4 linked regions of the Pelodiscus sinensis genome follow. The main gene of each other region encodes a partner of the protein of the gene in region 3 in a complex. Links are inferred from orthologs where the notes say so. Each region holds a gene or a part of one and is shown on either strand. Other genes may lie near its edges. The genes, in order: SMARCA4, SMARCE1, ARID1B and SMARCC1.

Evidence for each region.
Region 1: ARID1B (region 3) and SMARCA4 share a complex: the UniProt entries of both Homo sapiens proteins name them as parts of the neuron-specific chromatin remodeling complex. The link is inferred for Pelodiscus sinensis from reciprocal best matches to the Homo sapiens genes ARID1B and SMARCA4.
Region 2: ARID1B (region 3) and SMARCE1 share a complex: the UniProt entries of both Homo sapiens proteins name them as parts of the neuron-specific chromatin remodeling complex. The link is inferred for Pelodiscus sinensis from reciprocal best matches to the Homo sapiens genes ARID1B and SMARCE1.
Region 4: ARID1B (region 3) and SMARCC1 share a complex: the UniProt entries of both Homo sapiens proteins name them as parts of the neuron-specific chromatin remodeling complex. The link is inferred for Pelodiscus sinensis from reciprocal best matches to the Homo sapiens genes ARID1B and SMARCC1.

What each region holds. Positions count from the first base shown.
Region 1 is NW_027465894.1:294,490-301,748, reverse strand, and holds the start of SMARCA4 (SWI/SNF-related matrix-associated actin-dependent regulator of chromatin subfamily A member 4), read right to left. Parts: upstream 3,128-7,259; 5' UTR 2,957-3,127; intron 1-2,956. UniProt on the Homo sapiens protein: ATPase involved in transcriptional activation and repression of select genes by chromatin remodeling (alteration of DNA-nucleosome topology).
Region 2 is NC_134739.1:10,452,555-10,459,935, reverse strand, and holds the start of SMARCE1 (SWI/SNF-related matrix-associated actin-dependent regulator of chromatin subfamily E member 1), read right to left. Parts: upstream 3,009-7,381; 5' UTR 2,803-3,008; intron 1,030-2,802; 5' UTR 889-1,029; intron 326-888; 5' UTR 282-325; coding exon 275-281; intron 1-274. UniProt on the Homo sapiens protein: Involved in transcriptional activation and repression of select genes by chromatin remodeling (alteration of DNA-nucleosome topology).
Region 3 is NC_134713.1:111,317,300-111,324,711, forward strand, and holds the start of ARID1B (AT-rich interactive domain-containing protein 1B), read left to right. Parts: upstream 1-4,291; 5' UTR 4,292-4,846; coding exon 4,847-6,553; intron 6,554-7,412. UniProt on the Homo sapiens protein: Involved in transcriptional activation and repression of select genes by chromatin remodeling (alteration of DNA-nucleosome topology).
Region 4 is NC_134712.1:256,776,504-256,784,609, reverse strand, and holds the start of SMARCC1 (SWI/SNF complex subunit SMARCC1), read left to right. Parts: upstream 1-5,055; 5' UTR 5,056-5,071; coding exon 5,072-5,311; intron 5,312-8,106. UniProt on the Homo sapiens protein: Involved in transcriptional activation and repression of select genes by chromatin remodeling (alteration of DNA-nucleosome topology).

The sequences.
Region 1 (7,259 bases), on a different chromosome or scaffold from region 3:
GAATGCTCATTACTGGGGTGGGGAATAAAAGTCTTGGGAAGGTTTAAAACCTTTGAAAACCTTTTTAGCCCTGAACAATAAAATACAGACACATTCTCTTTCCTTGATGTTCATCCTTGAATTAAACAAAGGACAAGATCTTCAGAGGAGTCTGACACCCAAATCCCCACAGCTATGTGAAAATACCAGCTGCAAAGAATAAGGAAATATGCCACAGAAGTCTCACTTGGGGATGACCTGCTTCTTTCACTGACTCTGCTGTGATAAGCATGCTCCACTATGCTGAAAACCCAACCTGTGCAGAAAGGTAATCAAATATGCTACAAGACACTTAAAAGCCACTCATTTTAGATGATCTTAATGCAACTCATGAATTTTAAAAAACAGCTGCACAAATCCTTTAATTATATCTCCACTTCTGCTTCTCTTTAGATTCTGATATTTGAAAAAGGAAAATATAAATTATTTTAAACACAGAAAATTAACCGATTTTCTCCATTAACTTGCCTATCTCCTTTCATATTTTAATGGAAAGAAGATTAGCAAAGCAGTCACCGTGATCTGAACATGCTACATACCATTTATCTGTCATTACACAGAGGGACGAAAGCAAAAATGAATGCAAAACGCATGAAGATACAGTTTACCAATCAAAAAAAGTGAAAAACCTGAAGTAACCCTCCCTGCACATTTCAAATCTGTCACGCTCCTCTATCTCTGAAGGAGACATACAGCAAATTGGGTTACACTTTAAAATAAAGATGATGCCAAGATATTAGGGGCAATAAAACAATTATGAAGAACAGAAATTGAGATACTTAGGGTAATGTATCACTCAAAGATGGGAACAAGGGAAAATTTGTAAAAAATATTTAATATTATTTAGAACTAGGTATTATTAAATCTATAGTTAAAAGTCTCAGACTTCAACTATGCTTACATTTGGGTCAAGTTAACATACAGCAAAACCTCCATCATTTCAAAATATGTAGCATTTTGTAAATGTTTAATATTAAAAGATACTTTTTATATGAATGATCATCAGAAACACCACAAAAACAAGTGTGCAAGACAATGTTTAAGGAAAGTTGTTAAAAACCTATTACAGTTATACAAAATACAACAAAGAGCCTCTGCCTTAAAACAATAGACTACATTGTTAACTGATTTGTGACCATCAAAGGCAGCACAAATTTGCCCCAAAACAGGAGATGAAAGAGAACAGTTAAAACCCTCCATTAGAATATTGGGGCATCAGTAAATATTCCCTTTATTTCCAAATGATTTCTAATGAGAAGCTGTGTTACATAGAGACCCATTCATATTTAAATGTGCTTTGTGTGTCAGGAAACCATGGGGGATGCTCTGAGCAAGGGGGTGCTTATTAATAGGCTTTGAGAGCAAATCCTCTTTAAAACATCATCACCCACAAATTCATATCAATGAGCTGAGTGGAATTGAGGCAATTTTTTGCACCTCCTTTCCCCAATACATCTGACAGCGGGACTTTGCATGTGGAGCTGTCTGTGGTTATGTGCCTATTTGATGCAGCAGCTAATCCTGCTCCTTTCAACCTCCCCCCACCCCCAGCACATGAGAACCTTGGTATCTCTCCAGGAAGTCAGAGCCTGAGCAATGAAGTACTCCTAGGAGAGAGAATTTATAGACCATCCTGCAAGCACAAGTGATTGGCTTCTTCTTGTGGCTCTGTCCTGAGCAGGTGGAAAATCTGAACCTTTCCCATAATAAATATATGAATGTGTAGGGAATCCAGCCAGGATGTTGTAAGCCTGGGGGATCTAAGGCCAACCCCCTCAAATCACCAATTCTCCAAAGAAAGAGAAGGTGGAAGGAGGAGGGACCATAGCTCTTGAGAATAGAGTAGAGCAACTCCATGGGCTAGAGAAAAGAGATAGGAAAACACAATTCCTTGGGACTGGGCAGATGATGGTAGTGTGGGCAGGATCCACAAAATGAGGTACGGAAATGGGAGAGGGGGATATTGATGTGGGAACTAGTTTAAACAGGATAGAAGATACTTATGTTGAACAATAAGGAGGAAGCACCCCAGCCTAAAGAGGGAGATGCTGAGGAGTAAGGTAAGGACAGCTTTCTTGGGTGGAGTGGGATGATAGCAAGGTGGAAGCAAAGAGATTCTGGGAGAAAGGGGGCAGGAAAGAGGCTGATTAGCAAGGGGGGGGCACAACCCCTTGGTGGGGAAGTATTCTGGGAAGAAAAGAGAGGGCTGTTAATGAATTGGGGTGACTGGAAGGGTTGATGCTAAAGGATAAGGGCAGCATGTTTGAGGAGGGGCAGATGCTGATGGAGGGCCAGAGCCCCAGAACGGATGGAAACGCAAACAGGGTGCAGTACATCAGGGATGGCGTGCTCATGAAAGGAGAGGTGCTCATGGGGGCAAGTACACCAGAAATGAGATGATCACGGGGGGGGGGGGCACTGCCATCCCCTATCACCCCCCGATCCCAGGGGCATCATCTGAGCATCACCCCTCCCACATTGCCCCCCCATCCCTGGGAGGTGGGGGAAGAGGGATGCTCAGGGAGAACACTGCCCCAGGGATGGGGGCATGATGGGGCCAGTTCTCCAGAGACTGGGGGGGTGAGATACCCAGGAGGGCCAGTGATCCAGGGGTGGGGGCGGGTGAGGGGGAGCTGTGCCCCGGGGAGGGGGGCCGCGATGGGGCCAGGGCCCCGGGGATGGGGGAGGGGCGAGGGGGGAGCTGTGCCCCGGGGATGGGGGAGGGGCGCTGCTCGGGGGGGCACAGCCCACGGGGGGGGCAGGGAGGACGCTGGAAGGGTCCCCGCGCGGGGGGGCGGCCGAGCTCTCGCGCAGGGAACGTCGCGGAGGCCTCTTGACCCTGCCGGGCCGCCGTAGCCCCTCAGCCCCCCCCGCCCTTCCATTCAATGGGGCGCCGGCCCCCCCTCCCCGCGCTCACCGTGCCCGCCCCTCGCGGGGCCGCTCGCGGGCTCCATCCCCGCCGGGTCGCGTCGCGGCGGGACAAAGGAGCCGCCGCTACTGTGCGAGCGTGAGGGAGACGCGGCTCGAGCTCCCCCTAGCGCGCGCCCCCGCGGGAGGCAGCAGCAGCAGCAGCGCGCGCGCTCCCGATCCGGCTCCAGCGCGCGCGCGGGGCGGCAGCCTGGGCCAATGGGAAGGCCCCGGTGGGGCTCGCGCGCCACCGCCCGCCCCCTCCCGACCCTGCCTCGCCTTGGCGTTCGCGTCTGCGTGCCACAGCCAATCAGGGGCGTTCGCGCTCCGCCCCTCCCTCGGGCAAGGTGGGCGGCGCGCCAAGCGCCCTCCTCCACTGGGAGCACAGCTGACACGCGCCTCGACCAATGGTGTGAGAACGAGCCAAGCTAACCCCGCCCACCTTGGCGGCGCTGCAACCAATGGGCAAGTACCTCTGGCTGGTCCCTCCCCTGCCTGCGGCCGAGAGTCGTCGCGATCAGCCAATGGGAGCTAAGGAAAGCGGCTCGCGCTCACGCCTTCCAGCCTGCCGCAGCCAATGAAGCAGGGAGAAGGAAGCGTTCGAGCGGTCGTGGGCGGGGATAAGGGGGAGGGGGCGAGCTGCGTCCGCGCGTCCTTGTGGCGCGCGCTGGCGATGCGAGCCGCCTCCTCCTCCCAACCGGCTGGAAACCGCCGCCGCGGCCACGCATGCGCATTGCGGGCGCCACTGCGGCGAAGGGGAGGGAACTTCGAAGGCGGAGGGGATGGGCAGGGGAAAATGAGGGGAGGGGAGGGGCTCAGGAAGGGGGCTCAGGAGGGGGAGGGGGTTGAGGGGAGGGGCTCAGGAGGGGGGTTCAGGAGGGGGAGGGGCTCAGGAGGGGGACGGGGTTGAGGGGAGGGGCTCAGTAAGGGGGCTCAGGAGGGGGAGGGGGTTGAGGGGAGGGGCTCAGGAGGGGGGTTCAGGAGGGGGAGGGGCTCAGGAGGGGGGTTCAGGAGGGGGAGGGGCTCAGGAGGGGGAGGGGCTCAGGAGGGGGACGGGGTTGAGGGGAGGGGCTCAGTAAGGGGGCTCAGGAGGGGGAGGGGGTTGAGGGAGGGGCTCAGGAAGGGGGCTCAGGAGGGGGAGGGGGTTGAGGGGAGGGGCTCAGGAAGGGGGCTCAGGAGGGGGAGGGGGTTGAGGGGAGGGGCTCAGGAAGGGGGCTCAGGAGGGGGAGGGGGTTGAGGGGAGGGGCTCAGGAAGGGGGCTCAGGAGGGGGAGGGGGTTGAGGGGAGGGGCTCAGGAAGGGGGCTCAGGAGGGGGAGGGGGTTGAGGGGAGGGGGTTGAGGGGAGGGGCTCAGGAGGGGGAGGGGGTTGAGGGGAGGGGCTCAGGAGGGGGGTTCAGGAGGGGGAGGGGGTTGAGGGGAGGGGCTCAGGAAGGGGGCTCAGGAGGGGGAGGGGGTTGAGGGGAGGGGCTCAGGAAGGGGGTTCTGGAGGGGGAGGGGGTTGAGGGGAGGGGCTCAGGAGGGGGAGGGGGTTGAGGGGAGGGGCTCAGTAAGGGGGTTCAGGAGGGGGAGGGGGTTGAGGGGAGGGGCTCAGGAAGAAGGGGGGCTCAGGGAGCCCTTAAGGGGAGAGAGCTCAGAAGGGGAAGGGCTGAGGAGGGGGGCCATAGGAGGGGAAAGGGGGTTCAGGGGGAAAGGAGAATAAGGGGCTGATGGGCAGGGAAAGCTGAGGGCACAGGAAAGGGAGGGTCTGGGGGAGGAGGAAGGGGGCTCAGGAGGTGGGGGAGGAGAATGGGGGGCTGATGGGCAGGGAAAGCTAAGGGGGCTCATGAGGAAGAGGGGACAGTGGCCAAGGAATGATGGAGGAAGCCGGTGGGATGGGGGCTGAATGCTGATAGGAAGGGCATGATGAGACAGGAGCTGGCGGTTCTCCTGGGGCAGGCACTGGCAATGTAGGCTAGTGAGTGGGCCACACAAGTGGGCTGCAAGATTGTTTAACCAAGATGGTCTCCCAGCACTTTTGCTAACTGCGTACCTAGAATTTAGGAGGTGTGCCGAATGAACCGCAGCAGCGCTTGGATTGGATGATTGGATGTTCATAGCGCTCACTGTCAATGTTATGTGCAATCAGCATGCACCTTATCTCGCCCTTGCTTTAAATGTGCGACTTTGGTCATCCCAATAGAGAAAAAAACTATGCCGGCAGAATCTGGCAACCTTGCACATGAGCAACACCAAACACAATGTCCTAGGGGCCACACATAGAGCCCTGATGGGCTGCATATGACCCACAGGCTGCCCATCACTGTCAGGTCTCTCATGCAGTCTGGAGGAAAAAGGGGTTTTCTTCTATGTCTACACTGCAGGCTTTTTGTGCAAGAAGTTTTTGTCGGAAGACAGTGTAGGCTTCTTGCGCAAGACAGTGTCCACACTGCAAAAGTGCATCAAAAAAGCAATGCACTTTTGCGAAAGAGAGCGTCCAGACTGCCTGGATGCTCTCTTGCAAGTAAGCAGTGATTGCTATGGACAGGATTGCCACCAGGGCACCTGTGCTTTTTCCTCCTCCCTTTTCTTGTGCAAAAAAGCCCTCTTTCCCGTCCACGTACACCTTTTTGCGCTACAGCTCTTGTGCAATAAGGCATTCTTCCTCATAGAATGAGGATTACCAGTTGTGCAAAAACCCCTCTGATCTTTCGATTTACTTGCACAAAAAAGCACTTGAAGTGTGCACGCTCTGTGAGTTTTTGCGGAAAAACAGCTGTTTTTCTGCAAAATCTCTGTAGTGTAGACATAGCGGCTACGTCTAGACTGGCCCCTTCTCCGGAAGAGGCATGCAAAGCAGGGAAGTCAGAATACTTGCAAGTAGGAATAAGAGATCCTCCTGAAAAGGGCTTTATTCCGGAGGATCGCGCCAGTCTAGACGCTCTTTTCCGGCTTTTCCCCAAGCTGGAAAAAAAGCGGCGGCCATGTTTATTTAAATCCCGCGAGGGATATTTAAATCCCCTGCGGATTTCCCTATTCTGACTTGCCTGCTTTGCATGCCTCTTCCGGAGAAGGGGCCAGTCTAGATGTAGCCAGCCTGTGTCAATAAGCCATCATGTTCAGTGAAGCAAGTTTAGTGGTGTTGATGGAAGGGGCCCGGCGGGAGACCATCTAGCAGGAATGGGATGAATGAAGCAATGAGAACTTTAGGACGAAACTCTTGGAGCGTTCCCTGGGAAGGAAATGTGGTGGGCTGTGGAATGATCCCTTGAGGAATTATGGAAGCTCTATTGTTTGGGATTGGACCAAATCTTTGAAAAGAGACCTTTTAAGGAGAGATCTTGGATAAGAATGGGCATACTGGGTCAGATCAATGGCCCTTCGAATCCAGTATCCTGTCTTCAAACAGCGCCAGTACCAGATGCTTCAGAAGGAATGAACAAAACTGGGCAGTTATCAAGTGAAATGAACAGTAGAACAGATGGATTAGATAATCTAACAGATCTTTGCCAGCATTAACATCTGGGATTCTCTTGATCTGTCCCATTCTTTTTCAGTATGAAAAATGCCATAGTGATGCCTTGTCTCTTCCCTTTCCAGTCATCCACTCGTTATTTGCAGCATCCTGTGAGAGGGGCTATCTCAGCACACTAAGTAATGTGACAGTCAAAAAACGGTGTGTCCTCGCCTAAAAAATCCGGTGGCCTTCTGCAGACCCTCTCTTCCAAGGCTCTCAAAGCACTTTATAAATATACACTAAGCAGCCCCACATTTTGCAAGGTACATAGGAATGCTTCCAACTACATCTGGGGCAGAATGTAGCCTCTGTTTAGCAACATGCCAAAATTCCACATAATAGTTTAGGGCAGGACATAAGAAACCCTATATATATATATATATATAGTTGAAACCTCAGGGGAATTTAGATCTGCATAATGGGCCAGAAGACGTAAACATGGCCAGTGTTGGTGGCCGGCTTCTAAACTGTAGGAGTCATCTAAATGTAGTCTTTGCCGCAACGTGGCACTTATTTAGAGGAGAAATCCAACTATTGCCCTATCCTGACACTGTTAGTATGCGAGAGCTAAGAGTCAGAGGAAATAGTGGTACCTCCAAAGGGGTTAGATCCTTCATGTCAACAAATTTCTCAGTGGAAATGTGATCAGTGGAGTAAGTTGCATGTGCCGGTGACAAAATAGAGACAGTTTCCCTCTCCCACAAAATCTAGGCCTATCTTCTCTGTTACAGTTAACATATGGTGTTGGGGGCTAGTTGTGGCCCCTGATTCTCTGCCCAGCCCCAAGGGGCTCCTGTAACCTATACTAGCTGACACCTGG
Region 2 (7,381 bases), on a different chromosome or scaffold from region 3:
AAGTACAATTATGCAGCTTGGCAGGTAGGATGCTTGCATGTTCCTTTCACCTTTTGGACACTTAAAAGAAATCCTCAGTGCACAATGTTGGCTATGAACTGCTGTAATATTTAGTACTAACTGATTGGTAGTTCACTTATAATTACTGTACCTGATAATATTCCTCTTATAATTTTCGTGGTGTAGTAGCCCTTTCCCATGTAACAGCAATGTTATTCATGAAAGTAAGTGCCACCGAACAGACGTCTTACATTTAAAAAAAATACAAACTTACTTGACATTTTGGCAGATAAATTTTCAGCCAGCTGACATTATATCTCAAATTCTGAAAAACAAAAAAGAGAACACAGTGTCAGACTGTTAAATACAACACTTTCTGTTTTCATGAACTGTTAAAACAAAGAACATAATTAGAGCTTCTGTTTTTCAGAATTTATTAATTTCATTTTATGGGGTTTATTTTTTAGCAATTTTGCTATATGTATATGTCCAATGAGGTTTTTGAGGGGCTCATTGTATAGCCTGTAATATAAATAATCTGTATAAAGTTCGCTAATGTGCTTTAATGTAGCACAGTACTGTTTAAAACAACACCATGTTAAAGCACACAAGGGAACTTGTAGCACACACCAGCTAACATTTGTATGCTTTAGAAATCATAGCCCTATAATCTGTACTACTACTTCATGTAGACACAAGATAAGCATTTCCAATGTTTTTCCACAGTTTATTGGATTTGAGAGAGCAAAATTGGTCCCAATCCTGTAAATGCTCATCATCTGACATAAATAATGTCTATGGCATCAAATATTAACACTACTATAGGCACAGGTTTCAATGCTGAACCCGTGATTATTTCCACACATAATAAAGTACTTAGGCACGTACATTTCCATGCCCAAGGTCTATGGATGGTCTGGAATGTAGGCGACACTGGATAACTCTTACGAAAGAAGTTATGCTCTCAGTTGAGATTCCAACAAGGTTAAATGAAAAGAATGCTTCAGTAGGTCAATTTTAAATGGAGGCCTGGCTTGAGAACAACAGAAAGATCTCATTATTCATCCAATTTTGGGGTGAATGGGAAGGAATATACAAAATATACAAACATAATATGTAACATACTAATTTTACAACTTTTTTTTTAAGATGAGGCACATACTAAGCACGTAGGTGATAAAAACACAGCCATGTCACTTCTGAACACAGGGTTTTACACCTTGAGAGTTTTACTCCAATCAGTAAGGGTACCTTTGAAAACATTATACCTGGAAGGTTGAGTTAAGGTATGCAACTCCAGGTACGTAAAATACGTTGCTGGAGTTGGCTTACCCTAAGTGGACCTTGGTACAGTGTTCACAGAGGGAGTCCAGTCTACTTCCTTTACTTGTCACGACTGCTAGGAGTACTGGCACCAACCAGAGCCGCCCTGAGTTTCATTTTGAAGGTCTTAACTAGACCCACTAAATTGAATACCAAAAGATTGATCTCCGGCATGACAAATGCAGACATGGTACCAGTCACTACAGCAGGTGTACTTGCTTAAGGGAGGATAGTACCTGCCTTCTTCGCTACCATTTTTGGGAACGGGGCAAGAAATAATTGCTTCCTTCGTTATTGCTGACAGCCTATTCTCCCTTCAAGGTGGAAGGAGGGGGAAAGGGAACCATTCCCTTCTCCTTGTGAGGTGCATGAAGAGGGGGACTAGCTACCTCTCTTCTCCTGCAAGGTGCATGGGGGGTGGTTAGCTCAGTGATTTTCAAAATTGGGTCATAACCCAGAGGCAGGCTCCTCTCCCCCCATGCTTTGTTTATTTATGTGTAAGCAGCTCCCACTGGCTGCAGTTTGCCATTTTCAGCCAAGAGGAGCTGTGAGGCTCTGTAGTTATGGACACTTAGGGTACGTCCAGACTACAGGCTTTTGTCAACAGATACTGTCGACAAAGCTTCTGTCGACAAAGAGTGTCTAGACTACATCCAGTTCTGTCGACAAAGCCAGCCGCTTTGTCAACATGACAGTGTAGACACACAGGACAATGTAGATGCAATAATGCCTTCTGTTGACAGAACTCTGTCGACAAAAGGTGTTATTCCTCGTAGAATGAAGTTTACAGCTGTTGAGAAAACTGCTGAGTCCTGTCGGCGCTATGTTGACAGAACTCAGCGGCAGTGTAGACGCAGGTATAATTTTGTGGACAAAAGTCTACTTTCGTCGACAGAACCCTATAGTCTAGACACACCCTTAGATAAACAAAGCATTGTGGGCCCCACAGCAGTTTACCTAGGCCAGTCCCTGATCCAGCTGTGAAAACCATTGGGCTAGCTATGGCCCTCCTCCCCTGCAAGGTGCAAGGAGGGGGCTGGCTACTCCCCCTGCTCTGGGCATGACTGTCTCTCTCCTCTCCCTGCAAGGATGCATGGAGGGGACGAGCTACTGCCCTCCCCACTTCAAAGCACCAGAAGGGGGCTGGCTATCCCCCTCCCTTGGGCACCGCTGTCTCTCTGCTCTCCCTGCACGGAGTGAGCTGGCTACCCCCTGCCCATGGGGTGTCCGTGGGCACCACTCTCTCCCCCCTCCCCCCCGCGAAGCGCATGTAGGGGAGGCGGGGGGGGGGCATCGTGTGTCTCTCCCTCTCCCTGCGAGGTGCGTGGGGGGCGGGGGCTGGCTACTCCTCCGCCCATGGGCGTGGACGCGGGGGGGGCATCGCTCTCCCACTGCCCTCCCCCCACTCTCCCACGGTCTCTTTTTCGCGGGGCCGGTGCCGGGCCCACTCACGCAGCGCCCATCGCCTCAGACACTCACCCGCTCCAGCACCGGCCTGGGCCCCCTTTGTTCTCAGCCAACAGCGCGCTCCTGAGTGGGCAGCAGCGACTCGGGGGAAGCCGCCCGCCCTTCCGCCTCAGCACATTCCACACGGAGTCCCCAGCTCCCCCGCTTTTTCACTCCCTCCCCTGGCTTATTCCTGGCCAGGCTCCCTCCCGCAACACCCAGGGAATTTTTATCGTCTCCCGTCAGGGCAGGGAAAGGAGGGTTGCTCTGTGGCGAATCTGCGGAGCCGAACGAGAAAGCCAAGAGGCACAACAGCTTGGCTAGACCGCTTGACGTGACGAGCGGCGCCACGTCAGGTGACCCGCATGGCGCGCTAGGAGGCGCGCAAGGGACTCGCGACCCCGTGACGCGCCGCAGCTCCCGGGGTGGGGGTGGGGTTTGGAGCGTTGTGTTCTCGCGGCCTTTAGGTTCGTTCTCGCGCCTCGGAGGACACGCGCCACTGTTTTGGCGCCTTTTCCCCCTCTCGCGACCGTTAGTCTCGCGCCCCCCAGCCTGTCAAGCCGTCGCTTGAGGAGAGGCGGTGGCCGGCCGCCGACTCGCGCTGCGCCTCCTGTCAGCTCTCCGCCTTGGCTTCTAAGGAACCAGCTGATGCAGGTCGCACCTCTCTGCTATGCAGGCCTCGGTTGCAGCCTCCTGGTTATAACACACGGGTGCCTAGGCTACAGCTGCCCCTTTAAAAACCAGGTGTCCCGGCCCCAGGGACGGCCATGCGTAGGGTTGCCAGGGGTCTGGTATTGAAACGGACTGTCTGTATTTTCATCTCCTGTGTGGTAAAAAAAATTCAGAAAATACCCGTCACTTAAAATGGCCCCTATTTTCCTAGCTAGGAGGTGAAAATCCCAGACTGTCTGGCTCAATATGGAGGCAGCCCGGCAGCCCCAGTGCTCAGTCTGGCCCAGTGCAGGGAGGCAAGATGGTGGACGCCCACCTGCAGCCTGTTAGTGCCAAAAAGCCTCAGCATGCATTTTTTTTAAAGGGACCACTTCCCCCCCCCCCCCCCCCCCCAACAAACTTTTTCCTGGCCTGGGATATTTTGGGGGAGGGGGGATATTTGGTATTTTTTCCAAAACCATCTGGCAACTGTAATTGCAACATAATGTGCCTTGGCATAGTTACTGATATAGGAGGAAGCGTCTCTACCCACATAGTTATCTGAGGTGTCCCTGCACCACATGTATGTTTATTGCAATAATATGAAGTATCAGAGGGGTAGCCGTGTTAGGTGCCACAGGACTCCTCGTCGCTTTTGCAATAATATGAGAAGCTGCATCAGATGGTTATTTTATAACCCTATGCATGCCCCACTAAAGGCTGCACTCAGCTATTTAAATAGAGATATTGAGGAAGAGTTATCCATACCCATATCCATACCCTGCATAGGACACTTGAAAATTTGAGGAACCACTGGGTCTTAATGTGACTGTCCATACATCTGCTTCTTCCTTTCCTTGGTTTGTGGCTTCCTCTGGAGAGGATCTGGTGAAAAAAGCCTGCCAGAGCTATTAGCAGAACCCTGAACCTGCGAAAGAGCCATTCAACTGGTAATGAAGTCATTTAACAGACATTTGTAAACTCCAGGTATATGTTGTCCATTCAGAAACTTACAGGACTAGTTTAAAATTGTTTTAAAAATATGTTGTTAGCATTTTGCTGAAGGTTATAAAAGCACAATTCTAAAAAATTGTCTTCCCCATCCACCCAGCTGCCCCATCAGGCTTAGGGACATCAATTTAATCATACAGCGTAGAGTCCCATAAATCCTATGGATTGCCCTCCGCCCAGGGTGAGGCATTGCTGGACATGGTTCTCTTAAATACTTGTCTTTAGAAATAAGGGCCAGTGTTTTCTCTGGGACATTCAGAGTTTGTCTAATCAGATGTTGGTCACTGAAGATCTGTCACTTTTTCAAATAAATAGAAGGTCAAGGTCCACATTGGCTCACAATTTATCCCTTGCTCAAGTACAAGGGATAAATCCATAACTTGCATTTGGCTACAAAAAACAAAGGGAACCAAAATACATATTTTTATGAACTTCTTTTTAAACCACCATTATACATCATCAGAAAATTTATGTGAAAAAGGTGAGAATATTGTTTTTATATTGGCAAAATACCATTTCACTCAAGTTTTTACCTGCTGTTAGTTAAGGAGTTTCTGGAGAAGAGTGCAGGTAGTAGAGGTGAAAGTAGGGTCCATTAATTCTTGCTTTCCTTCTTGGTCTCACACCATTACACCACTCTTTTCTCTCCAATCTAGTATAACGTGATTTTGATAATATGAAAATGCTAAAATGCTCTTAGATACAGTCATATGAGTCTATGTTTTTGAAATATTTCTCATTGGTTTTTGTATATGCTGGTCACAACTGTGCAATCTTTATATGATTGAGCACTTAACAATGAGAATAGCTCCACTGGAGTGAACAGTCACTGGGTTGTGGGTGAATCGATACCACTTTCTTCCCACATGCCCTTTATTGTAATTTAGGTCTTGTATTTTTCTTTCTGGAAATAGATTTACTCTGCAGTTGCTAGAAGAGGGAATGTACCTTCTGCATTATTTTACCAGAAAATAGCTACATTCAAAGTGATGAAAGGACACCTTCTTCCCCAAGATCCTGCATTTGTAGGTATATGCAGAGTTCTTGTTGTGAATTTATCCCAGGATATTAGTGAGACAATATGGGTGAGGTAATATCTTTTTATGCACCAGCTTCAATGAGAGAGAAAAGCGGTCGAGCTACACACTCTTCCCCAAACAAGTTTTTCCAATGAAAGACATTACTGCACCTACCTTGTCTCCTCAGACATGTTAATTGAAAAATATCATGACATGTTTTCAGCAGTGAAACAGTAGCATATTTATCCATTGATGGCTTAAATGTAAACACTTTGATACTTAAAGTACAACATAACATTCAACCCTTAATTCAGTAAAACTCCCACAGACTTTAAGATTTTTTTTCCTTAGTCTGAATGGGTGATATGACTGCTCTGTAAGAGTCCGTAGGTCCAATCCTGGAAAGTGTTTACAATATGGAGTCTCGTTTGAAGTAATTTGGCAGGAATTCAGTTCTTCTACCAGCTATTGACTACTTCTCTTTTCAAATGTGCAAATTTTAGTTATATTTTTTTTATACGGTTCTCAAATAATTTGTGAAAGCTAAGGTGGAAGGTTTCACACAAGAGGAAGTTTCAGGGATTCATGATCTATGTTGTACTTATTGACAAGGCAGTAACTGTCAAGCAGTCTCAAAAGTTTTCCCTCCTAATCCTGCTTATAGCATTGTATGTTAGTGGTGGATATTTTGAAGTCCTATTGGCACACACAAAGTATCATGTTAATTACAGTATGAAAGTTTTCTGTACTTCATGTATTATAGATCTGCCAAGAAAAATAATTATTTTGTATGCATAGAAAATTAAAAGGAAAGATAAAATCTAAAACAGGATTTATGCATCTAACTCAGATATTTAATGTACGGGTGTGGTGTGTGTTCTTATATTTCATTTTTCATGCTGACATGCCAAACCTATTGTATGTGTTCCACTGATTAGCAAAGTTGTGTTGATTTCTGCTCTTTCATTATATGTATGAAGAGGTGCATGACAGTACTCTATTTATTCATAAGGAAATATATAAAATACAGGCAACAACAATACAAACTTCACCGTATTGTGCCAACAAAGTGCCTGTATCATGATCTGGAGAGACAGATCATGAGAAGATAATTAAATTTCTTTTCCATATTTGTTTAAGGTCAGACTCTGCCACCCTTAGGGCATGTCTACACTAGGAAATCATTTTGAAATAACTAAATTAGAAATAACACCCAAAATAAAATCAAAAGAGCATGTCCCCACTATGGGGGGAGCCTCGACATTAGTCTGAGGCAGGCTCCATTATTGTGGACATGCTTCCTTGACTTAGAGCCCCAGAAAGGACTGGGGAATAATTACTTTGAATTAGTCTGGGAAGTAGTTATTTTGAAATAGTAGCAGTGTACTGTTAGTGTGGATGCTCTTTCAAAATAACTATTTTGAAATATGTGTTATTCCCCAGGGAAAGCAGGAATATAGATTTTGTAATGACCAGCCTGTTATTTTGAACTTGGTAGTGTGGATCCTTTGTTTATTTCAAAATAAGGGGGGTTATTTTAAAATAACTCTCTAATGTAGACCAGGGCTTTGTGTGGTGGTTGACTAGCATCTTGCTATATAAGTAGTCCTTTGATTTTATAAATAAAGGTGGCAATATGTAGCCCTTAATCTTTGGTTTAACTGCTGAGATTTCTGCATCTTCTACTAGGAAATGGTAGGATGCAGAATGACCTATGGGACAATAAAACTTAAGTTCTCAAAGGTCATTCTACTTTTGTCAGATGGCAGTAGCTCAATCCCAAATCATGTAGTCCCTCAGTATTGAGCTTTTTGAGTATCACTATACAGTGACCAAATTCCAAGACAGTTTGGTCAATATATACACACATAATTCATATTGATGTATTGACTGTTCTGATAGTACAGGGAGAAGAAAATAAATCTCTTAAC
Region 3 (7,412 bases):
TTTTTAAAGTCCACTTTTTTGAAAAAACCGTGTAGTCAAGACACACCCTTACATAGCAACAAGGGGAGAAAGGAAATGTTAAGTAAAGGAAAAATGGAAAACAATAAATGACAAGAGGATTTTGAGGGCTGTAGTACCTGCAACTACATTTTTCACTTAAAACAAAAAACAACACTGATAAAGATAATGTGACCATGAATTACCATTCTTTTGAAGACAGGATGTATGGCTTTTTCTTACACTCCCAAGAAATACAATGTTGTTTCCAAACAATGGCACAGGAAACAAAATTCTTAGGGTGTTCTATCAAAGTTCATAGATTTCAGAATGAGAGAACTCGGCAGCCCTCCATTAGTGCGAAGTGTAAAGCTGTTTTGTTTTTTTTTTAAATTGCTCATGCTGTTTCACTGAAGTACAGAGCTTCAAAAACTATTCATTAAAAAAGCCTCAGTTCAGCAAACCACTTTAACCAAGCTCTTAACTTGAAATAAGTGAATAATCTTAGTGATTTCAATGGGATTATTCACGTGTAGAATTAAGCACATGTTTAAATATTTTACTGTTTTGGACCTAAATCTTGCAGGAAAACAATTGTTCATATAATTCCCTAATGAAATAATGAATGATTTTATTGAAAAGAAGATAGTAATGTTCTGGAGGCCTTTTGGTTACGCACAGCCAGAATAAATTGATTAAACTCCCCATTATAAGTGGTATCTGAAAAACGGATTTTAATCAAATGGCAAAATGTGTCACTCTCACACATTAGGCTTTTGGTAAACACTGTGTACTTCAAAATATATTAAGATCAGATAGGATGAAATATTGTACTTTACCTAAGCAGATTATTGCATATTGTCCGTTACTCGATTGTAATAGTTCATACATCCTATTAATTAATAATATATAAAATCAATATAGGTAATAAAAATTAGTGATGTCTCATTGCATTTGTTCTGTGACTTACAATGCAGACTTCACCTTGAGATTCACATAAAGCTAAACCAAAGCACAGTACTCTGTACTTATGTGTGTACGTGTATTTTAACTCTTTTTGTTTTTTGTTTTGTTTAGGATCTGATCGCTGTCCTAGTGAAACCAATACATTTATTTCAATATAATTTGGATAGGGCCTTTAACCAGTGAAAGAAGTGTTAATTTAATAATTCTGAAAATTTAAATCTTGGTTTTTTATGGTCCCCCCCCCCTTTAAATCACTGCAAATCTATAATAACTAGAATAGGGAAAATATGGTGAATTTGTGATCTGCGTTACCTAGATGTGTAGGGGAATTAACTAGAAGACCAAACTGTTAAATCCAAACAGAGACTTCAAGCAAAATAATGTTGCAGAGTACAGTGGTTAACTGGGTAGGACACAACAAAGTGGCAAGGTGGTAAAACTCTGGTTGGGCCATTAATTTTTAACCCTTACTATAAAAATATAGAACCCCAAAACAAAATGGTTATTTTCTCTACCTTCTCTAACAATAAGACCATAGCATTGTCAAAATATTGGCTTATACTCTATATAACATTCAGAAGCCACTGTTCTGACCAAACAAAAAGATAGCTGCTTTAGTGCTGTGAAATGTGTAGGGCTTTCATATTGGACCAGCTATACAGAGATGTCTTGGGAATCTATATAGATGTCATAGTGCAATAAACAGTAAATTTAGAAAAATATATTGTTAATCCTGGAAATGGATCCCAAATAAAGGAGTTTTAAATTTATCAGAAAAATCAACATCCAGCATACTACAAAGCATATGAAAGAGAAATTGTGTTTAATTAATATACATTTATAAAAAATGCAGTTGAAATATAACATTCAAATCATGTATTTGTAGCATTAAGCATTAGATTTCATAATTTTGTAACAGACACCACGCATGACAATTACAGCTTTTCACATTATATGCCTATATATATTTTTAATTTGTACAACAGAGAAAGCTTTTGGAAAGGATCATATGAATTGAACATACACTACCACTCATCAACTGAGCAAAGATGGTACAAGATATTTCAACATTATTTGTGATCTAAAAAACAAAACTGAACCATAGTTGCTTTGTGTTGTGCTTCACTTGCACAGACTGCAGTGCCTTCTGTCTGCTTTCGGGTGTGGCATCTGCCATTGGGGAGGAAAAACTGGCATGTGTTGCCTTTTATAGCAGACTGATTTCATTGTGTTGAGGGCCTCTATTTTACAGTCTTAATTCCAATCTTGTAGCTGAGTTGTTAAAACAAATGTAATGAAAAAGACCGAGAAGAATAAACTTTTCATTTTTTGAGGTTCATTATTTTCCCCAGGAAAAATATTTAAAAAGTAAATCAGCATTAAACTTCGTGGCTTTTTTTTTTTTATTCAGAACTAGTGAAATGAGTCAAAGTATTGAAATCCTCAAAAGAGCTACCTTCAATACATCTTATCAGATTTGTAAATATATATATATATATATATATATACTTATATTTTTGCTTTAATATAAGTGCCCAAAAGCATAAATGTGTAATTGATTTTATATTTTATTGTAGAATATACATATAAATAAATATGCACAAGAAGACATCTATATTTATATTTGCATATGAAAGCCTTAAAAATCAACCTATGTGGTTTAATGTGTATAATTAGTATGTGTTTGAATATAAAAAAGAAGAAAATCCAGGAGAAAATGTCAAAAAAGCTCACTAACAAAGATGTAGTATTCTCTTGGCAAAAGCTGATGAATGATTTGGCATGAATTCATCTTACAGTTCTGTTACTCTCTCTTCTACAAAGATGATATACCCCTTTTCTAGCAGTTTGCATAGAACTGCAATTTGTTGTTGTTACAGACTGTAATGACCCTTGGGAACGCACCTGATTCCCCCCACTAGAATTATTCACTGATTTTTTTTCTACTCTATCAGTTTCTATTAACTATTTAGCATTTTTGTACTTACAGAGAGTGCAAAAACATAAACAAAAAAAAAAGAGAAAGAATTAAAATAGAACTAATATCAACATGTAGTTGAATGTTGAGACTTTTACAAAGTAGAACCATGCTGGAAAATTCAATGGACATTGAACTCACATTGTTCATACATTTATCAACATGCTGTCATGAAGAGTCTGTTCTTTAATGTTTTCACAGTGGAAATAAAAAAATCCCACTTCCTACTCATTACATCATCATTTATGACAAGTTATGTTTTATGTTCTGTCAGTATTAAAAAGTCTATTTAGTGAGCTGAAAATGCTATTTAACAGATTTTAATAAAATATTTATTTCATATAACATTTTAGATTCTTATTAAATTGTCTAAATACCATCAATATCCTGTCTTACTTGTGTCCATGGAAGAATATTTAATTTTCCAACTACTTTTATTAGCTGAATGTGGTGTTTGACTGTTACGTTTTCCTGATCAAGTTCTTACTTATATTAAGACAATTATTTTAAAAAATTAACTAGCAATAGCTGGAGAAATCTGCTATATAAATCTAAGTCATTAGGAGTAATGGTTGCTTTGATTATATATTGTATTTTATATTACTACATTTTCATGAGTGTCTTAGATATACTAGAAAATAATGTTGTTTCGGGACACAATTATAGGACTTTCCTTGGGAGCCTTGTAATCTGCATATAAATACGAGAACATGTTCCAAAAAGCTCCATACGTAATGCTTATATTAAAAACATCATTAGCACAAATGATCATTAGAACTTTGAAACAGCTGGACACTACAGATAATTTAAAAAATGCCATTACTACTGAATTTTGTGTTAATTTGAACATTTTACAAGTATTTTTATTTTTCCATAAAACAATTTGTAGGCAATACATTTTAGTGTCTTGAAATCAGAAAACCTTAGACTGCCTACTGGCTTGAAAAACAGAGAAAAGATTTTGAAAGTTTGACCAATTTTTTTTTTAATCCAATAAAATATATTGCCAACAATGTGTTGGATTTTCTCTTTGTCTACTAAGCTGTTATGATGAGCACCTTCAGCTCTCACCCCAAAAATACATGGGCAGAAAGCCAAATTAATCCATGATGTAACAACTTTTACTTCAGTTGAATTACACCAGGCCTGAATTTGACCCACCCAGTGATGCTTAGTTGTCCTTTTTGGGTAAGATCATTTGTAGCAATCAGTTTAATATTCCATTCTCTGTGGAAGACTATAACCTAGATTTGCAAGGGAGTTGAGTGATAGATTTTTTCCATCTCTAACTACTACGATGCTTGACGGGCACAAAATACAAAAAGGGAGCGTACATCCTTTTGCATTAGCAGAAGCAGCTGTCTTGGTTCGGGGCTGTTGAAGGTTGTAATGCGCGTCTCTCTCTGACTGCCACCGCTAAACCTGCTGCAGGAGGAGGAGGGGAAAGTCCAGTCCGCGTTTTCCAAGTGTACAGGAGTAATCAGAGAGAAGTGGATAATAGTTGTTAGAGCTCGCTCTCTCTCTCATGCCATGCTGGGCCAGATAGGCTCAGTCAGACGTGTATTTACCCATATCCGGGTTAGAGAGGAAAAGAAAAAAAAGTTTCATTTAAACCTGAACAAAAAACTTTCAACATGAAATCACACAGCAGGAACAGGCACAGACCGTAAGACATTCTTACTGTTTCTAATCTCAATCACGGACTTTGGGGAGGGGAATTTTTATATATATTTTTTGTGTGTGGAGTGATCAGGAGGGGTTACTGTTTATTCAAATAAGTTGGTCCCCCCCCCTTTCTCTTTTTGCCCTTCTCCCCTCCTTTGCCCACCCTCCCACCCCGTTTCGCTTTTATTTTATTTTTGAGGGTGGGTGTTGGATTTTTGCTTTCGGACTGGCAATGTTGCAATGATCATGGCCGCGCAAGTAGCAGCGGCTCCGGCGGGTGCGAAGAACAACAAGGGCAAAACCCCGAGTTTGCCGGGCAACTTGAGCCAGGATCTCAACTCGGGGGGAGCAGCCGCCGCGGCCACCGGGGGACCCGGAGCGGGCTCCATGCTGGGGGTCGGAGATGGGACTAACAGCAGCAGCAGCCTGAATAATGTAGATCACCATCTCCTCCACCACCATAATGAACTGAACATGGCCAATAATGCAACTTCTGCTGCTGCTGCCACCGGTAATAACAACAACAACAACGCCAGCACCAGCGGCAGCAGCAGTAGCTCCTCTTCGGAGTCGGCTCTGAAAGAAGGTGGAAGCTCCTCGGGGTTACCTTCATCTTCTTCTTCCTCCGCCTCTAACCCGGGCTCGGCCATGGAGACGGGGCTGCTCCCCAACCACAAACTGAAAAACGTTGGAGGCGATCACCCTGCCGCACCTCCCCACCACCACCATGCCCACCACCCGCATCACCATGCCCACCACCACCATGCCCACCACCCGCACCACCACCACCACCACCACCACCATGCACTACAGCAGCAGCTAAATCAATTCCAGCAGCCGCCGCCGCCTCAGCACCATCCGATGCAGAATAACAACAGCCTCGGCGGCGGCAGCAACAACAACAACGGCGGTGGCGGCGCTGCTCAGCCCAGTGCAGACATGGAGCAGCAGCAACATGGAGGAAAAGACGGTGTTTTGGGAAATCAGGCCGAGCCCCCTCCGCCGCCGCCGCCGCAGCAAATGCTGAATAAAGGGGGCGAGGAGGAAGAGCTGCCCGGCAAAATGGGCGAGCAGATCGGCGGCCGCTACGAGCACCCCAGCCTGGGACCTTTGGGCGGGCAGCAGCAGCCGCCTCAGAGCGCTGGGAGCGGCGGCGGCGGCACTAGCAGCCTCGGCGGCGGGAGCGGGAGCGGGGGAGGCGGCGGCCCCTCCGCCGTGGGTGTCTCGGAGTTTAATAGCTATTACGGCAACCCTGCCCCTGCCAGCAGCGCTACAGCGAGCCGAGCCGGGCCTTGCTTTGATCAACATGGCGGACAACAAAGCCCCGGGATGGGGCTGATGCACCCCACGGCGGCCCCCAACAGCATGGACCCCCTGCAAAACTCCCACGAGGGTTACCCCAACAGCCAGTACAACCACTACCCCGGCTACGGCCGGCCCGGCGCCGCCGCCGCAGCGGGAGGAGCGGCGGCAGCAGCAGCAGGAGGAGGCGGCTATGGGGGCTCGTCCTCTGGCTACGGGGTGCTGAGCTCCCCCCGGCAGCAGGGCAGCAGCATGATGATGGGCCCGGGCGGAGGGGCCAGCCTGGGCAAGGCTGCTGCGAGTTCTGGGGCTGGAGGCTTCCAGAGATTTGCCGGGCAGAACCAGCACCCGTCCGGAGCCACCCCTACCTTGAACCAGCTGCTCACTTCCCCCAGCCCCATGATGAGGAGCTATGGCAGCAGCTACCCTGATTACAGCAACCCCAGTGCCCCACCACAGCAGCAGCCGCAAGCCCAGGCAGCAGGGGCAGTCCCGGGAAGCCAGCAGGCAGCAGCGGGCATGGGCATGGGCAAAGACATGGGCTCCCAGTATGGAGCTGCAAGCCCAGCCTGGGCAGCAGCACAACAAAGAGCTCACCCAGCTATGAGCCCTGGAAGCACTGGTCAGACCATCAGCAGAACCCAGGTAAACCACCAGACACCCCCTCACCCCAAAACACTCCCCACTTGTATGTTTTGAATGTGTGTCTAGTGCTTTAGTTTCTCTCCAATTTACTTTTCCTCCTCTCGGCCATATAAACTACTTGCTGCCTCCATAACAGGGTTTGGTAAGACACAGTGTCCGATTGATTGGAGGCATCCGACAAATGGTTTCACTGTGCAGAATTGCACTATTCGCTTACAAAATTGAACTGTATAAAGTTTTCCTCCAGTTTGAAACAGATTTGAAGATAGAAGGCCCCGAGGAAAAGCAGTTTGGGTGAGGAGGGAGGAGTTGCTTTTGTAACTACACTGTCAGATTCTGGAAAATAACATTGACTGCCCTCTATTAGAATTTTTTTTTTTTTTTAGACCAAGCAGATAACTTTGATACCCTTTTAACAAATTAGTTGTATTGCTGATGAAGACAGTATGGTGAAATCCAGCAAAAATACAGCCAGGTTGCCTTGGCTCTTGGAAGGGTGAGTGCCATAGTCAAGAAGGTTTATTTGGTAGGCGTTGAGGTGGTGTATTCTTCTTTTATATTTGCCTCAAGCATCCAACCGGGATGAGATGAAAATAAGTGTTATTTGTAAAGTGAATATAATACATAAGTATTATTATTCCCTTTTTGAAATAATCCATACTTTGATGAAGAGACTGGAAGAATCCTTTATTTAAATAAACAGAACCAGATATTGAGAGCTCTGCTTGTTTTGACTAATATACACATCCCCGATAAATTAAATCCAATAAATTACAAATCAATATCAGATCATTGTTGGATTATGTTTATATAGATTGCTTGTTTGCCATCATCAAAGTTGTAGGGGTTGGTTAGGAAA
Region 4 (8,106 bases), on a different chromosome or scaffold from region 3:
GAGGCAGGGCCATCTCAGCCCAAGTGTCTGAAGGCAGGCTAGCAGTGGTTGCATCAGGCCCTGCATAATATACCCACCTCTCATGCATGTCACTTACTATTCCCATCATTGTGCTTAGGCAACCACAGTAGAGGAAATAACATATGCTAGTGACTACAGTTTCTTCCCCCTATGCTACTATTCAAAGACCAGAGTATAGTATAGAATCATAGAATACTAGGACTGAAAGGGAGCTCGAGCGGTCATCGAGTCCAGTCCCCTGCCCTCATGGCAGGACCCAGTATTGTCTACCATCCCTGACAGACATTTATCTAACCTACTCTTAAATATCTCCAGAGAAGGAGATTCCACAACCTCCCTAGGCAATTTATTCCAGTGTTTAACCACCCTGACAGTTAAGAACTTTTTCCTAATGTCCAACCTAACAGTAGAACCCAAGAATTATAAACAGCTTAGGAACGGAGGTTGTTCGTAACTCTGAAATGTTCGTAACTGAACAAAACCTGATGGTTTTTCTTTCAAAAGTTTACAACTGAGCATTGACTTAATACAGCTTTGAAACTTCAATATGCAGAAGAAAAATGCTTTTATCTTAATTTAAATGAAACACGCAGTTTCCTTACATTGCCAAATCTTTCCTTTTAAACTTTCCCTCTTTATTTTTTAATAGTTCACATTTCACACGGTACTGTACTGTATTTGGATTTTTTTGGTCTGTACTGCTGCCTGTTTGTATACTTCCAATTCCAAATGATGCATGAGATTAACTAGTCAGCTCGTAACTCTTGTGTCCATAACTCTAAAGTTTATTGTAGTTTAGGTAAGGACTAAAAGACAAGCTATTACATAAGAACATACATAAGAACATAAGAACGGCCGTACTGGGTCAGACCGAAGGTCCATCTAGCTCAGTAGCCTGTCTGCCGACAGTGGCCCAGAGGGAGTGGACCGAAGACACTAATCAAGTGATTTGTCTCCTGCCATCCTTCTCCAGCCTCTGACAAACAGAGGCCAGGGACACCATTTCTATCCCCTGGGTAATAGCCTTTTATGAACCTAACCTCCATGAAATTATCTAGCTTCTCTTAAAACTCTGTTATAGTCCTAGCCTTCACAGCCTCCTCTGGCAAGGAGTTCCACAGGTTGACTACACACTGTGTGAAGAACTTTCTTTTATTAGTTTTAAACTTGCTAACTATTAATTTCATTTGGTGTCCTCTAGTTCTTCTATTATGGGAACTAATAAATAACTTTTCTTTATTTACCCTCTCCACACCACTCATGATTTTATATACCTCCATCATATCCCCCTTAGTCTCCTCTTTTCTAAACTGAAAAGTCCCAGTCGCTTTAACCTCTCTTCATATGGGAAGCTATTGGAATCAAAAGCTTCAGTGGTACAGGCAGTCCCCGACTTACGCGGATCCGACTTATGTCGGATCCGCAGTTACGAACGGGGCTGCCCCAGAGTACACAGACTGCGGGACCTCGCGGTCCTGCCGCCCGTGTACTCTGGGGCTTTGCTCTGCGTCTCCCTGGTCTGCAGACCAGGAAGACGCAGAGCAAAGCCGCGGAGGGGCTCGGGCAGCGGGGCAGCCCCGCTGCCCGAGGCCCCCCCCCCCCACCCGCGCGGCTTTGCAAAGCGCGGGGAAGCCGGCGGAGGGGCAGTCCAGGCACGCCTGGGGTGCCTCGCTGCCGGAGCCCCCCCCCCCCCCCCCCGCGGCTTTGCAAAGCCGCGGGGAAGCCGGCGGCGGGGCAGTCCAGGCGCGCCTGGGTTGCCTCGCTGCCCGAGCCCCCCCGCGGCTTTGCAAAGCCGCGGGGGGGGGGGCTCGGGCAGCGAGGCACCCCAGGCGCGCCTGGACTGCCCCGCCGCCAGCTTCCCCGCGCTTTGCAAAGCCGCGGGGGGGGGGGGGGCGCCTCGGGCAGCGGGGCATCCCAGGCGCGCCTGGGCTGCTCCGCTGCCGGCGTCCTCAGAGGCGCTCCCCGTCTCCCTGGTCTGCTGGTCTCCAGCAGACCAGGGAGACGGGGAGCAAAGCCGCGGAGGACCCAGGCGGCGGGACGCGCAGCATCTCGGTCCGCCGCCCGAGTCTTCCTGGTCTGCTGGGGTGGGGGGGGCGCAGCTAGTACGCCCCCCCCCCCCCCCCCAGCAGACTAGGCTTTTCTCCGGACGCCTGTGGCAGAGCAGCTGGGGTGCTGCCGGTTGGTCCCGCAGCGCCGCTCTGGGTGCTACTGGTGCAACCCAGCAGCACCCCAGCTGCTCTGGTCCTGATTCAGCCGCTGCTGGTCAGTTTCAGCAGCGGCTGAATCAGGACACCTGGGGCAGAGCAGATGGGGTGCTGCTGGGTTGCTCCAGTAGTGCCGAGGAGCGGCGCTACTGGAGCAACCCAGCAGCACCCCAGCTGCTCTGCCCCAGGCGTCCCCAAGTCAGCTTCTGCTGAAACTGACCAGCGCTGACTACAGGAAGCCTGAGGCAGAGTTGCTCTGCCCCAGGCTTCCTGGAATCAGCTGCTGATCAGTTTCAGCAGCAGCTAACTTGGGGACGCTTGGGGTTCTTAAATTGATTCTGTATGTAAGTCAGAACTGGCGGTCAGTTTCAGCAGCGGCTGAATCTGGACACCAGTTCCGACTTACATACAGATTCAACTTAAGAACAAACCTACAGTCCCTATCTTGTACGTAACCCGGGGACTGCCTGTATTTGAAAAAGACAACTGGGGGCCAACTTGCCTTCTGCCTCTCAGGGAAATGAAGTACAGAAGTCAAGGGGAGTGCTCTTTTATTGACTTAGTTTGTTTTCACCAAATCTGCTGAACTGACATCAAATCTGGCATCAATCACAGCAGTGCCAATTTAGCAGCAACTATAGACAAGCTAAATGTAGAATGAATGATGAGAATGAACGAGTGAAAAGTTAAGACCCTAGTATTCGGCATAATGGATGGTCTGAATAGGAGAAGCAGACCCCACAGACAATGAGTAGATGATATAGTAGATTGCGGTGGAGCTAGTCTACAGAAACTAAGCCACTTTGCACTGGACAGGGAAAGATGGAAGGAAATAGTGAAGGAGGCATCGCACATCAACAGGCACTGAGCCCATGGTTGATGATGATGATAGACAAGCCACAAGTTACTACAAAGAGTTCTTTCCCAGATAGCTGCCTGGTGGATCTTGCCCACATTCTCAGAGGCAAACTGATCACTGTATTTGGGGTCAGGAAGGAATATTTCCCTGGGTCAGATTGGAGCAAGTTTGGTGGTTTTTGCCTTCCTCTACACTGTAGTCTACAGCATACAGCATGGGTCACTTGCAGGTTTAAACTAGCATAACTGATGGATTCTCTGTAACTTGAAATCTTTAAACTATACTTTAAGGACGTCAGTAGCTCAGCCAGCAAGCACACCAGTGGGTGGTTAAGAATCCATGGCCTGCAGGAGGATCAGAGTAGAATGATCACAATAATCCCATCTGACCTCAGAGCAACAATTCCCAAATGTTTTTTGGTCATGCTCCCTTCCTTGGTCCATTATTCCCTTTGAGCTGTGGCCAGGAGGGTGGTGGGTGCTGCAGTTGGAGCCACAGCTAAGGACTGGCTGGGAACAGAGTGGGAGTGGAGCAGAGGGCCAGGCTGGGTGGTGCTCCCTGAGCACTGTCCCACCTGCAAAGTTCCTCTGGGCCCCCTTAAAGGGTCATGCCATGGAGTTTGGGGACCACTGCCTTACACTCAATGAAACTGGACACCAGCAGTGGAGGAGAGTCAGTCCAGAGAGGAACCATGGGGGGGGGGGAGGGGAGGGAGAGCAGGACTCTGACCTGAGCAGAGATGATTCAGCCTGGTTGGGTGTGACCTAGTGGGGGCGCTGTCTACTTTTGTCATCCTCTGTTTCTGCTGGGCTGCATTGGTTAGGTGTGATTCCCAGGGCTCACTCCAGATGTGTATTGGGCCCAGACACCTGGGGAGCCAGACTCGGAAGATAACAACTCTTAAGGACATCGGTGGGGGCTGACACCAGGCTGGGAACTAGGCCTGGGAGTTGGGTCAGCCTCAGCTGGGCTAGGATGAGTGTGGGGGCTTACAGCAGGGAAGGGGGGTGCAGGGCCCAGGACCCCCCCCTCCCCCCGAGGAAAAAGGCTGTTTGCCCTCCATGCCGGTGGTAACATCGAGCCTGTGCTACGTTCCTGACAATCAATAAACCCTTGTACTGTACCAGCTGGCTGGGAGTCACATCTGGCCGTGGGTGGGGGTGCAGGGTCAGGACCCCCCCCCGTGGTGGGGGAGAGCAGGGCCCCGCCCTGAGCAGAGAGGGTTGGGCAGGGAGGCTGGGATTAGGGGAGCGGTCAGGACAGGGAGCGTGAGGGACAGACGAGTCTGGGCCAGGCCTAGAACCCAGCAGCCCCCCCCCCCCCCCCCCCCCCCCCCCCGCTTCCTGGCCAGGATAACAACCTTGCGGCGCTCTCAGCACAGGAGCGAGCGGCCTGCGGTCGGAGCCGACGCCGTGGCTGGCGCGCGCGGGCGGCCTCTGAGGAGAGCGGAACGCAGCGCCAGGCGGGCGTCGCGCGCCCTCGCGAGGCGGGAAAAGCGACGCGGGAGCCACTGCGGGCACGAGCGCAGGCGCAGCGACGGCTGGAAGAGACGCTGGGCGGCGAAGCGACAACGAGGCTGGCAGCCCCCCCCCCGGCCATGGAAATTCAAGCCACACTCTCCCCACCAGCGTCCACGCGCCGCATGCGCAAAGCGCGGCACGAGCGGCTTGGCCCACTAAGCGCATGCGTACAGACTTAGTGCGGTGCGGCCCGTGCCGGGCGGTTGAGATTTGACGCATGCGTGCACAGCAGGGTTGGGGGGAGGGGCGTGCGGTCTGCCTGGACCTCACGAGCGAAGAGAAAAGTGGGAGTCTGGCGCATGCGCAGAGCTAGCGGGCTCGTGTGGCGCGTGCGTTGAGCGCGGCCCAGGGTGCCGACGCAGGAGCGGTGGCGCCCGGGGAGAACCGGCGCGTGCACAGCGGTGGCGGGGGCAGGGAGCGGGGTTCCCGAGCATGCTCCAAGGGGCGGAGCGTGCGGGGCTCGGCGCATGCGCGGCGGGAGGCGAGTGGGAGGCGCAGGGCCGCGGTGGCGGCGCTCGGCGAGGGTAACAATGGCAGCGGCAGTGACGGCAGGCGGCGGGCCCGGCCCCGGCGCGGCGGCGGGGCTGGCGGCGCTGTCCGTGGCGCGGCGGAAGGACGGCGGCCCCACGGGCAAGTTCTGGGAGAGCCCGGAGACGGTGTCCCAGCTGGACGCGGTGCGGGTCTGGCTGGGGAAGCACTACAAGAAGGTGCGGCCCGGCCGCGGGGACTGGGGCGCTGGGGGGCGGGGCGGCCCGTGGGGCGCTGAGGGGGGCGGGGAAGCGCCAGAGGAATGGGGGGGTAGAGGAAGGGGCGGCCCGGCCCGCGGGGACTGGGGCGCTGGGGGGCGGGGCAGGGGGCGCTGAGGGGGGCGGGGAAGCGCCAGAGGAATGGGGTTAGGGGGTGAGGAAGGGGCGGCCCGGCCCGCGGGGACTGGGGCGCTGAGGGGGCGGGGAAGCGCCAGAGGAATGGGGGGGGGTGGAGGAAGGGGCGGCCCGGCCCGCGGGGACTGGGGCGCTGGGGGGCGGGGCGCTGAGGGCGGCCCGTGGGGCGCTGAGGGGGGCGGGGAAGCGCCAGAAGAATGGGGGGGGGTGGAGGAAGGGGCGGCCCGGCCCGCGGGGACTGGGGCGCTGAGGGGCGCGGGGCGGGGCGGCCCGTGGGGAAGCGCCAGAGGAATGGGGGGGGGGGTGAGGAAGGGGCGGCCCGGCCCGCGGGGACTGGGGCGCTGAGGGGCGGGGCGGCCCGTGGGGAAGCGCCAGAGGAATGGGGTTAGGGGGTGAGGAAGGGGCGGCCCGGCCCGCGAGGCGCTGAGGGGGGCAACCCGAGGGAAGCGCTCCAGGAAGGGGCGGCGGGGCGCCCCAGCTAGGCCGGGAGCGGTCACAAAGGGCCAGGCGCTCCTTTGCGGGGGGGGGGGGGGGGCGGCTTACCGGCCAACGGGCGGGTCCCGGGTAACGGGGCCGTTTCCCAGGCTGCGCGGCTCCGACCCTTCCCCCCCCCCCCCCCCCCCCCCCCGGACTGGAAGTCTCCAAAATCAGTTCGAGCCGGTTGCGCGACTTCAGGGCGAGCCCCCCCGCCCCCCCCCCGCATCTGGGTCTTCGCCGCGGTGTGTGCGCGCAGCTGTGGGCACGTGCGCCGCGGGCTGGCCTGTCACCGGGCACTCGCGGGGCCCCAGCCCAACGAGGGGCGGTTGTGCCGAGCGTCGTCACACACTGGCGAGAAACGGGGGGGGGGGGGTTAAGTTGCCCCCTTTAAAAAAAAAAAAAACCTGCATTGCTGATGCGTTTGAGTTTAGGTGCTTGTGCGGCCTAAGTGACTGTAGTATCCGAATATCTTCATACACTCCTATGGGAGGAGGAGGTGAGGTGCTGTTAACCCATTTTACAGATGAGGATTGACTCAGAATCACTTGCCCAAGGCCTTGCAGAGAGTCTGTGATAGAGTAGGGAACTGAACCCAGGTTTCCTGGCTAATACTCTAACAGTCTGGATCATCCTTCTTTTCTATAATCTTATGGGGTTCAGGGCTCTGTTTCCTAAATCTAAAAGAACAAGAACTGAAAAGTTTGCTCAGTGATCACTTTTGTGAGGAATGTGGCTTCATTTGCATTCAGACTTCTGCTGGTTTGACTAATGGTGTTTAAGTCAGTGTATTTAAACCAGAGCAACCCCCCTGTGTAGCTTTATTTTATTTTGAGTGACTAATATTGATTTGGGTGAAGCAGATTCCTTATGGAATCTTTGAAACCAAAATAAAATTGTCTACACAGGATTTTGCTCTGGTTTAACAAAATTGTTTTTAAACTGATTTGTAATGCCAGTATAGCTTTTTGATTATATATCTTTGTGGCTAGTATTTTTGTAAAGTCAAACTCCTGCAATTTAAATAAAAACATTTGCAAATGCCTGCTAAAATGTAATTTAAACATGCTAATCAGATTCTTTTTAAATAAAGTTTTAAACGCTTAATTATGTCTCTTGGTTTTGTTATGCTTTTCCCTTTTCCTTTCTTACTCCAGGTCTTTGTCTATAATAGCATGTAAAGTTTTAACTTGTCCTTGCATTATCTTTTCCAGTGTCTCTTTTTTCACCCCATGTTTTTCCATTCATTTCATTCTCTATCTTATTTTCTTTTTACTTCTCTCTATATTAAAAGTTGCAGAGGGGTACCATGTAGTTAGTAACTTGAAACAACTTTTAAGAACAAGTAGACCTGTAGCACCTTTTGTTCATCTCTAAGGTGCCACAGGTCTACTTGGGCTTTTTTTTTTTAAGTTCTCTCCATATTGTATTTCTCTAGTTCTATCCCATCAGCTTCTCTCTCTTTCTGTGCCACATTTCATGCGGGCCATTGAAGTTTTACCAAATTCTTAGCACCAGAGGCCTTCTAGCCAAAGTCCCAGATGAGTGTTGAGGAATATTATCTAGGATGTAGCCCAAATAAGCAATCACATATTTCTCCATCCTTCACCCAAGCTGCTGGGAAAGGGAATTAAGTGTGAGGTTCCTCCAGGATTTCTGGGTCCTGGAAGAAAGGAGCATTCTCTCACTCAGTTCTCCAAGATTTCCAGATCAGAGTCCCTAGCTATTGTGAGAGAAGATTATTTATCCACCCACTTATAATAGCCTTAGTTTGAGTCCTCCATCCTCAGTTATCCAATTTGTGCCTGCCCCCTTGCTGTTCAGAACTTTACACAAGCAACTATCAAAGTTGATATTAACTCAGTTCTTTTTAATTTCACTGTTGTACATAAGATTCTAGATTGCAGCTATGGAAACTAGCAAGAATGTTTTTCACTCTGCTATAGTTTAAGACTCACATCAGGAGAGGCATTGGATCCATCATTGTGCAGGCTTAAGACAGTAATGCATTGATTATATGTGAAGGTAATTTTAACCATAATGGCCAGATACTTAATGATTTTCTTACATGAAAATTTAGATTCTGCAAAGTTGTTGGGAATCTTTTCCAGGCAAGTTCTTATTGTCCTTGGTTAGTGGCTCTATAA